Linked DNA regions of Cricetulus griseus. The protein of the gene in region 3 interacts with the protein of the main gene of each other region in a pairwise test. Links are inferred from orthologs where the notes say so. Each region holds a gene or a part of one and is shown on either strand. Other genes may lie near its edges.

What was found. The genes of interacting proteins can lie anywhere in the genome.
Region 1: the proteins of Bag6 (region 3) and Spp1 interact in binary tests that used the Homo sapiens proteins (3 or more experiments, as listed by UniProt). The link is inferred for Cricetulus griseus from reciprocal best matches to the Homo sapiens genes BAG6 and SPP1.
Region 2: the proteins of Bag6 (region 3) and Efemp1 interact in binary tests that used the Homo sapiens proteins (3 or more experiments, as listed by UniProt). The two-hybrid records come from large-scale screens. The link is inferred for Cricetulus griseus from reciprocal best matches to the Homo sapiens genes BAG6 and EFEMP1.

The regions. Positions count from the first base shown.
Region 1 is NW_023276807.1:166,254,790-166,257,106, reverse strand, and holds part of Spp1 (osteopontin), read right to left. Parts: intron 1,621-2,317; coding exon 1,540-1,620; intron 1,019-1,539; coding exon 977-1,018; intron 1-976. UniProt on the Homo sapiens protein: Major non-collagenous bone protein that binds tightly to hydroxyapatite. Appears to form an integral part of the mineralized matrix. Probably important to cell-matrix interaction.
Region 2 is NW_023276807.1:78,368,412-78,371,930, reverse strand, and holds part of Efemp1 (EGF-containing fibulin-like extracellular matrix protein 1), read left to right. Parts: intron 1-1,932; coding exon 1,933-2,056; intron 2,057-2,147; coding exon 2,148-2,343; intron 2,344-3,519. UniProt on the Homo sapiens protein: Binds EGFR, the EGF receptor, inducing EGFR autophosphorylation and the activation of downstream signaling pathways. May play a role in cell adhesion and migration. May function as a negative regulator of chondrocyte differentiation.
Region 3 is NW_023276806.1:231,657,474-231,661,499, reverse strand, and holds the start of Bag6 (large proline-rich protein BAG6), read right to left. Parts: upstream 2,811-4,026; 5' UTR 2,787-2,810; intron 2,583-2,786; exon of another isoform or gene 2,324-2,582; intron 2,293-2,323; exon of another isoform or gene 2,102-2,292; intron 1,791-2,101; exon of another isoform or gene 1,649-1,790; intron 1,548-1,648; 5' UTR 1,535-1,547; coding exon 1,427-1,534; intron 1-1,426. UniProt on the Homo sapiens protein: ATP-independent molecular chaperone preventing the aggregation of misfolded and hydrophobic patches-containing proteins.

The DNA of each region.
Region 1 (2,317 bases), on a different chromosome or scaffold from region 3:
AAAGATCAAGATGGCTCAGTAAATTAGTGTTTGGGTTTTTTTACACTGTGCTAGTTTTCTTGAATATTTTAGTTTAATTTCAAGATCTTTGCATTTACAATAAATTCAATACTTTCCATGGTTTCATTGTGACAAAGTGGGCCTCATACTTGCTTTTTAACACAAGAATAAATGAAATAACATTCTGAAGCACTTTTTTGGCTTCTTAATAAAATGTTATTTTCTTAGATATTTTCAAGTCAAACTTATAAGTATGATGCTCATATTACTAACAAGTTTTCCCTTGTAAATAGTGTACATTGTTCATTTACTGAATTTATTGAAGTAATAAGCATAAATAATGTTAGTTTGATTTTTTGTGTGAAACATAATCCCTCAAGATATCATATTATACCTTAATATAGAGATTAAACTCTATAGTTGCCTCCCTATTGTCAAGGATAGTCAAGAGATGACTCTGTATAGTACACGGGTTTACAAACAATGGCCCAAATCCATATCATGAACTAAGGATTAAAGACTATTAAACTATAAATCTGTGGTTCCTTTTTAAATCTAACTTTCTTTATCAGAGTTTATCTATCTATTTAAATTGAATCCTAAGGGAAAATTTATTTATTTGCTCAGCAAATAGGAAAAAACACTTATCAAATAATCTTTAACATTAGCAACAGAAACATTTTAAAGTAAAAAATCTTGGCTTTGTTAAGCACTGATGGTCTGCTTATCAAATATTAGTTAAAGCATCTTTAAATTACCTTTCATACTTTATAAGAGGCTTAAAGTTTCAAGTAACAGGTATAGGTAGACGATTTCTGAACACTAAACTGAAAAACCTGTGTATTTTGATGATGAATGAATGCATTTCCTTCCTAAGCAAGCTTTTGAATGGCGATTCACTAACAATCTGAAGGGAACAATGAAGTAGCTTCCTCCAGATCTCTAACAGTGGGAGTCAGTGAGTGTGAGAACTTACTTCTTGTTTAAGATCATCTGTTTCTTCAGAGGACACGACATTCTGAAGAAGAAAGGCCACATATTAGCATACACCACACATGCTCAGCTGCTTAGTTCAAAGTTATTCTTTTCAGTCTAAAGCTGGTCACTTTTTTTTTAGCCTGGATGATGATTTACAGTGGGACAAACCACCATAGTGTATGCATTGTTCTTCTAGGCACTCATTCACCTAGAAGCAGGAAAACCCCACTTACTAGCTTGTATGGTTTGATTAGTAGCTGTCTATTATCATTGTTAGGTGTTTTGCTTGTTTGTTTGTTTTCATATTGTTTTATCATTTATTTGTTTTATTTTTGTGGTCGGTATTTTGCTTGCCTTGTATTAGTGTACTGTGTGCATGCTGTACCTCAGGAGATCAGAAGATAGCAGCAGATTCCCTGGAACTAGAGTTACAGAAGGTTGAAAGCTGACATCTGGACACTAAGAACTGAACCAGGGTCCTCTGCAAGAGCAGCCAGTGCCCTTAATAGCTGTCCCATCCCTCCAGCTCTGTTTCAGTTTTGAGAAATTGAAAAACAATACCTGTGGGGCTAGGAGATTTTGCTTCTGAGATGGGTCGGTTTCCAGCCATGTGGCTACAGCATCTGTATGTTTGCTGTAATGCTATTAAAAAAAAGTGTGTGTTTGTCATTATTAAAAAATAAACAAAGGGATCTGCATGCCACAAGCTTATAAAATGACTATAGTTTCTACTCCTGAAGGAAAAACATAATATATACTCATACTTCCATGCAAAACTTCAGAGATTATAAAAATATAACTTATTTTTTTTATTGATTCATTTAATGGTACTCTAAATAGCATTTACTATGGGACTTGGCTGTTTTCAAAGTGATTTATAAATATAGCTTCAGTCCTTTCAACTCCTTATGCGGTAGACATCAATATTTACCTGTTAATACCAAAGAAGAAACTCAGCCACATTGTGGCTAGGCAGTAAGAAGTGGCAGAGCCAGCATTCAAACCCAAGCACACTTCCTAGTCTACCTTTGCTGGATGAAGTTTTCTCCCAGGTAAACACCCTTAATTACTATTGATCCCATTGTTTTCTCTCCATAGGACAAAGAGGAATTCTCCAAGGCAGTACTTCATATGCTGGTGTCCTTAGCTATAGGTAGCTATTTAAATGTAAGTTTAGATTAAATTAAATGTAGTTAATTTCAATATGAATTAAGATAAAAAACAAAGAACTGAATCTCTCCATTGAACTAGCTACTCAAGTCTAGTGGTTAGCAGATAGCCATTGCATAAAAATTCTATTGTACCAAGCTGCCAATGGTGGAAACAGAATAGGCTGTCC
Region 2 (3,519 bases), on a different chromosome or scaffold from region 3:
GTATAAAAATTCCAAAGAGCTGACTTGAAGCAGGATTAGGTAAATCACTTAAGGAAAGCTAAATTAAAGAATGAAAATACTCACTTATAGGAAAGACATGATTCATAAAAGGATTCTGTGAGACAAAATAGAAACTACAATTCACATAGAAATTAAGTGGGAATTACATAATAATATGGATATTACTATTGCTAGTAACATACAGTAATGCTTGGCTAGTAAAATCCTTTCTTCAGTTATCATCTAGGGATCTAACTGGTCTGTCTAGTTGGTCTCCACCACCACTCTCATTCTCAAGACTCTCTCCCCTCTGTCTGCTTCTGTTTACATTGCCTTTTCCTTGTGTGCCTAACACCATTAACAGTCCCTTCTTCCACCCAGTCCTAAAATATCTCTGCTCTGAGGTGGAACACTTCATAGCTCACTTTATCAGTGCACCCCCCTTCCAGAGCATCCTCTGTCCCTGTCCCTTGCAAACTGTTGTTGCCCCCCCTCTCTCTCTCTCTCTCTCTCTCTCTCTCTCTCATATGTGTGTGCCTCTCCCTCCATACCCTTTCCCTGAAACAGCTGCCCTCCCTTAGAAATATTCCCCTCATGCATGAGAATTCATCTATGCACCACCTTTTTTTAAAATTAAAACAATCTTATTTTACATAGCAATCCCAGTTCCCTCTTATTCCATTCCTCCCACTATACCCCATCCCACCCCCATCCACTCCTCAGAGAGGGTGAGACCTCCCATGGGGGATCATCAAAGTCTGTCACATCATTTGGGGGAGGGGCTAGGCCCTCCTCTGTGTATCTAGGCTGAAAGAGTATCCCTCAATAGGGAATGGGCTTCCAAAGCCCATTCGTAACCTAGGGACATATACTGGTTCCACTGCTAGAGGTCCCATAGACATCCTAGGGCTCCCAACTGACACCCACGTTCAAAGGGCCTGGTTTGGTCCTAAGCTGGTTCCCCAGCTGTCAGACTGGGATCCATGAGCTCCCACTTGTTCAGGTCAGCGGTTTCTGTTGGTTTCCCCAGCATGGTCTTGGTCCCTTTGTTCATCACTCCTCCCTCTCTACAACTGGATTCCAGGAGTTCAACTCAGTGCTTAGCTATTGATCTCTGCTTCTGCTTCCATCAACTACTAGATGAAGTCTCTAGGATGGCATTTAACCTAGTCATCAATCTCATTATAGAGGGAGAGAATTTAAGGTAGCCTCTCCAGTATTGCTTAGATTCTCAGTTGGGGTCATCCTTGTGGATCCCTGGAGATTTCCCTAGTGCCAGATTTCTTGTTAGGCCCAAAGGTCCACTTGAGATGCCCCACTTCCATTCTCATCCCTAATCCTCCACACACAATCAGCTATACATGAAATTCGTAGTGCTCTTACCTACATCTTAATTGCACTCTACTCTGAAAGTAACGGTTGCCCTATCTATATTCTCAACTATGTTATCAGCTCCTTGGAACAGAGAAGAAATTTTTTGTTTGTATTTTGTTTACTTTCATATAAGCAAAGTCATAATCAGCATTTGACTTTGAATTCAGCAGATGGACAACTGGCAAGAGATAAAATATCAGGAAATGTCATGCATTAGTTAGTCCACAATGGCTCAGCTATATCTGTCTTGATGTCACTGTAGCTGACTTAGGTCAGTTCAGTCTCTTCACTAAGAAAACTGAACAGGCCAAGTGTGGTGGTGCACACATACATATATAAGGGGGCTACTGCAGGAAAATTTTGAGTTCAAGGCCAGTTTTGATTGCACTGTGAAGTCCACACCAGCTTGCTCTCCACGGCAAGACCCTGACAAATAAAATTAAATAACAAAAAACAAACCACAGTCTAGAATCCTTCCTGTATCCTTCCTTACAAACCAGAATCTGCCACACATACAATTTACTTAGGTCAATAAACTCTTTAACCCTGTGCCTACAGATATCAATGAATGTGAGACCACTAATGAGTGCCGAGAAGATGAAATGTGCTGGAATTATCATGGCGGCTTCCGTTGTTACCCACGAAACCCATGTCAAGATCCCTATGTTCTAACATCAGAAAAGTAAGAAACATTAGAGCCTTTATATTAAAAGTCAGAAGTTTCTGGTCCTCCTGAGCCAAACTGGTGACCACTTCTGTGTTTGTCTCTGCAGCCGATGTGTTTGCCCAGTGTCAAATGCTATGTGCCGAGAGGGGCCCCAGTCTATAGTCTACAAATACATGAGCATCCGATCTGACAGGTCTGTGCCATCAGACATCTTCCAGATACAGGCCACAACTATTTATGCCAACACCATTAATACTTTTCGGATTAAATCTGGAAATGAAAATGGAGAGTTCTACCTACGAGTAAGTATGCTTAGACAGTATTGGCTGGTGGAAAGGTGGCTGTTCATTGTGTTCGGTCACATGGGAGTTGATCTAAAACCTGGGAGTTTCCCAGGTAGGCATTGTGTCCAGCCTCCTGGGGTACATGTGGCAATACTACCAGATATTAAAATCTAATCTTTACAAGCCACCCCAAACTCAAGCCATAGAATCTAATAAAGCTATGTGTGACTTCCCCAAAATACAAGCATGCCCCAAACAGGTACTACAAATGCATGCTGTCTAATTGTACAGAGAAAAACACTGAGAGTTTTTCTTGTGATAAAGTTTGTGGGTTGTTTTGATGTTTACACATTTAATCTGTCCCTTGATATATTAACTTCCTCCTTGCTCCAGAGTAACAGGATTCTATTTCTTTGCCAAAAATTAGAATTGATTAATTTCTCAGAGCCAATTTCATTTTTATCATTTTTTATTTTAAAACAATCTTCTCATTTTACATACCAATCCCAGTCCCCACTCCCTCCTCACCTCCTGCTTTCCACACCTCCTCCCACCCCACCCTTCATCCACTCCTCAGAGATGGTGAGGCTTCCCATGGGGAGTCAACAAAGTCTGACACTTCACTTTGAGGCAGGACCAAGGCCCTCCCCACTGAATCTAGGCTGAGTAAGATAGCCCTCCAAAGAGAATGGGCTCCAAAAAGCCAGTTCAAGCACTAGGAATAAATCACGGTCCCACTGTCAGTGGCTCCACAGACTGCCTATGCCACACAACTGTCACCCATATTCAGAGGGCCTACTTTGATCCTATGCTGGTTCTCACTCTGTCAGTGTGGAGTCAATGAGGTCCCACTAGCTCAAGTCAGCTGTTTCTGTGGGTCACCCCAAAATGGTTTTGACCCATTTGCTCATATTATTGTTCCTCCCTTTCTTCGACTGTACTCTGAGAGCTTGATCCAGTGCTTAGCTGTGGATCTCTGCATCGCTTCTATCAGTTGTTGAATGAAGGGTCTATGATGATAATTCAAGTAGTCATCAATTGGGGAAAGCTAGTTCAGACACCCTCTCCACTAATGCTGAGGGTCTTAGATGGGGTCATCCCTATGGATTCCTGGGAAATTTCCCTAGCGCCAGGTTTCTTGATAGCCTCATAATGGTTCCCTCTATCAAGATATTGCAGAGCCAATTTCTAAAG
Region 3 (4,026 bases):
ACACAGCTACCCTGTCTCGAAAAACAAAACAAAACAAAACAAAAACAAAAACAAAAATGAATAAAGTCTTAAAAACATTTTTTTTGAAGCCAGGTGGTGGTGAACATCTTTAATCTTAGCAGACTCTGTGAATTCTAGGCCAGACTGCTATACAGATTGAGTTCCAGGATAGCAAGAGGTACACAGAGAAACCTGGGGGGATGACACACCTGATACACCCTCAAACAACCATTTCCACCAATGGCAAGTAATACTGGGTTGGGATCCAGGGTCTGGGAAGATAACTAATGAAGAAGTAAGAAGGGAGCCCAGGAGGTTTCCTAGAGTTCAGGGGTAGGTACTTTGTGCTAGGTCCAGGGTTCAACACCAGTAGGAACATCCCCCCCCCAATAAGGGGAGGAGGGAAAATGAAGAACCCAAACAAACCAACGTGGTAGCACACACCTGAGACCCCCAAATTTGGGAAGCAGAGACAGGAGGATGACGAATCCAAAAGACAATCAGTTCTAAGACACTTAAAACCCTACCTCAGCCAGGCAATGGTGGAGCACGCCTTTAACCCCAGCACTCGGGAGGCAGAGGCAGGCGGATCTCTGAATTTGAAGTCAGCCTGGTCTACAGATAAAGCTCCAGGACAGAGAGGGCTACACAGAGAAACCCTATTGGGGAAAAACTAAACAAAACAACCTAAAACAAGTCAGGTATGCTACACCTAAAATCCTAGCACAGAGGATGGAAGTCAGAAGGTCAAAGCCAGCCTGAGCTCTATGAGGTATTGCTGTCCCTACCACCCCCAAAAAGAATCTTCCAAATTAGACAGTAACTCTTGGTAAGGGCCATCAGACACCTACTCACGAAAGTGTACCCGGTGTTCCCAATGTTTTATAAAACCACGAAAGTGACCCGTTCATGATTTGTTCCCGAAAAGATTTATGCAGTAAAGACAAAGATAACTGTGCCCACACTGCACCCTGTAAGCTCGGGAGGTTCAAACCACCCCTCAAGATATTGGCAATCCTCCTGAACAGAGCACAAAAGCAGGCTCCCGGGATCTATAAATACAGTGTTAAGGCCGAGAACAAGTTGTTCAAAGACAGAGCAAACACAGCACACTTGTCTGAGGCCCCGGTGCTGCTTCCGGTCCCCCAGGCCGGAATCATCCGTGTCCCTGTGGGCAGAGGTCCGCCCAGGCCAGGTACAGATTCCTCCGCGGCATTTCCCTCTCCACCGAGCTCCACCGAGGTGAAGGCGGGCGGAACAAAACCTGCCTCACTCAACGGTAACCACACCTCCTCACTCAACAGGAACATCAGAGGTTCTACCGAGGGAGGGACAAAGGAGTCGGTGACAAGACAAGCAGGCTCGCCCCTCGGAAGGCACACGAGCGAAGCGGGCACACACACCGCCGCCTCTCCCCCCGCCTCACCTGGGCCCCCACAATGAACGTCCGAGTCTGAGAGTCCAGGGTCTTCACCAGGACCTCCAGGCTGTCGGGCTCCTCCATAGCGGTCCTGGCACTATCGCTCGGCTCCATGGCCGACAGCTCTCTACGGAGAGACGAGGGAGGGAGGGGGTGGTTCGCCGCCGCCCGCTCGCTCGCCCGCTCGCCCGTCAGTCCGTCCGCCCGCCCGCCCCGCCTTCTACACACCCGGAAGAGCGTCCGGGCCCGGCCTCCGCCCCGATCCCTCTCAAAGTTTCTCATACACAAACACATCCACTCGTCCTCGCCCTCATCGCCCCCTCCTCGGCCCCGAGGCCCGGGAGGAGAAACACAAAGGGCAGGAGGGGGACGGCACCGGGAGGCGAAGGGCGAGCGGTGGGAGGGGCTCCACGGTGCCAATCACGGTCGGGAGAGCCAGTTGGGCTACGAGCCGGGCAAGCAAGCACGAGACCGACCGGACACCAGTTGTCATCACCGGTCGCGACCCAGCAAGCGCCCGAGAGAGCGGGAGAGCCGAGGACAACGCGAGGGGGGGGCGGGGGGAGGGTCGGGTCGCGCCGCGCCGCGCCGCGCTCGGCGGACAAAGTGGCTCCGCGCACGCGCGCCACGGCGATCGAACCCGCCTCAAGCACCACAGGCGCCGGGGACGCGGACACTCACGGGAGCCCGACCGGCTCGCTGGCCGCCCGTCCTTCCGCCTCCGCCTCCGCCGGCGTTGCAGCAGCAGCGCGCGCGGCCCGACACGCGGCCCCTCACATACAGACACACGGACACACAGACACACGCACACACACGCACGCACGCACGCACGCACACACACACACGGCGAGGCGCGGCGCAGCGCCCCGCGGCTCCGCCCCCCCCGCCGGCTCCCCGCCGTACCGTCACTTCCGGCCTCCCCCAAGCGGGCACCACAGGCCACTTCCGTTTCCCCGATCGTATTTGGGGCTCTCGAGGCGGTACTTCCGGCTCCCCCAGGCTCCCCCCAATCTGCTTCTGCGGGGCACGACGAGGAAGTCCGCAGCCCCAGACAGTGAGTTCCCAGGGGCCGAGACGGGCCGGGGCCGGCCTAGATGGGAGGGAGCCGACCACCCCGAGGAGCCGCCGCCGCCGCCGCCGCCGTCGCCCGGGGGACCGCACTGCGCCTGCGTGAGCCGCGCGGCGCGTGCGCACACCGCAGCCCCGCCCCCCGCCCCGCCCCGCCCCGCCTCGCCTCGGGCTGCGTGCGTTTCTCCGCCGCCCCCCGCCCCCACCCCCACGGCGCGCGCCCCGCAAGCGCCGCACGGCCGAGGTGGCCGCCGTAACGCCTGAAGGAAACCCTCGCTGAGCGGGATGCCGCCCCTACCCGGAGAGACGCTGTGGACGCCCGTGGGGGACTCGTGGGGCTGTTGCACGCCGTGCGCCTGCGTCCGCGTTGGGCGGGCAGAGGAAACGCACGGGCACAGCCCTAGCCACCTAAGCCCCGGCAGGGCCTCTGGTCCTCCCGCACTGCCTGCGCTCCCGGAAGCCGCTCCCCCCCGCCCCCCGCCGCCCGACGGTTGGACGTTCCGTGGGCCGTGTGCGCTCGCACCCGAGCCGGACCGGGCGGCTGCGCGCCTCGCAGACTGTGGCGTGTGCTGAGGGTCGTTGGTTGGTCGAGGGCGCCCGAGGGAGCGCCATGGTTCAAGACCACCGAGCGTTTCGCCGCTGGTGGAAGCGGGGCCGGCGCGCGCCTGTGACCCCGGCCCCCGGAGGCCGGCCTGGGCTACGCCGGGAAGCGCTAGCGCTCTGGAAAAGACAAGACCAAGCAAACCCCCAGCGCGCGTGCCCGGGCCACAGGGTTAAAGGGCGAGAGAAGGGGTTGGGGGTTCCCCGCTCATCCCCGCCGGCAGTGAGCACTGTTTAGTGAGCAGTGGTTGCTTTGTCCCAGCCTGAATGCTGAGGCTTTCACCGTGTTCCCCTGAAGTGCCTGGAACTCCTCACGCCCCACAGCCCCACAGCTCCACGCCACTGCCCGGGGCTGGCATTAAAGTCGCCCTGTGGCACCCGGCCAGACGTCATTTATTTATTTTTCTGAAACGCGGTTCTCACTATGTAGATCTGGCTGTCCCGGAACTCAGGGATCCACCCACCTCTGTCCTAAAAACATTTTTTTGGAGGGGGAAGGGGGGGCGGCGGGCTATGTGCCTTGCATCTACCACAGCAGCCTAAGTGTGGAGAAACATACCGGAGTCCCCTTCCCACTGTGGGGACCTGGGGATCAAAGCCAGGTCCTCAGGCTTGGCTTGGTATCAAGCACCCTAAACCCACCTTTTAGTGTGTCCTCATAAAATTGGAAGGGCTGGAGTGGGAGGGCACTTGCCCGGCAAGCCCAAGGCCTTGGGTTTGATCCCTTGCTCCCACACACAAGCCTGAGCATCACTCCAATAGAACGGTCATGCCTATCACCGCCCACGTTTTTGTGATTGCTTTGTAGCAAGATAGTAAGTACCAAGGGTGGCCTGAATGGCAGTCGGACTCTGGCCAGCGTGAGTGTGTCCAGCATGGATCTGGCGATCCTTACCCTTCTCTTACTCCCTCTCCCCTGCTCAAAACTGTTAGGTTAC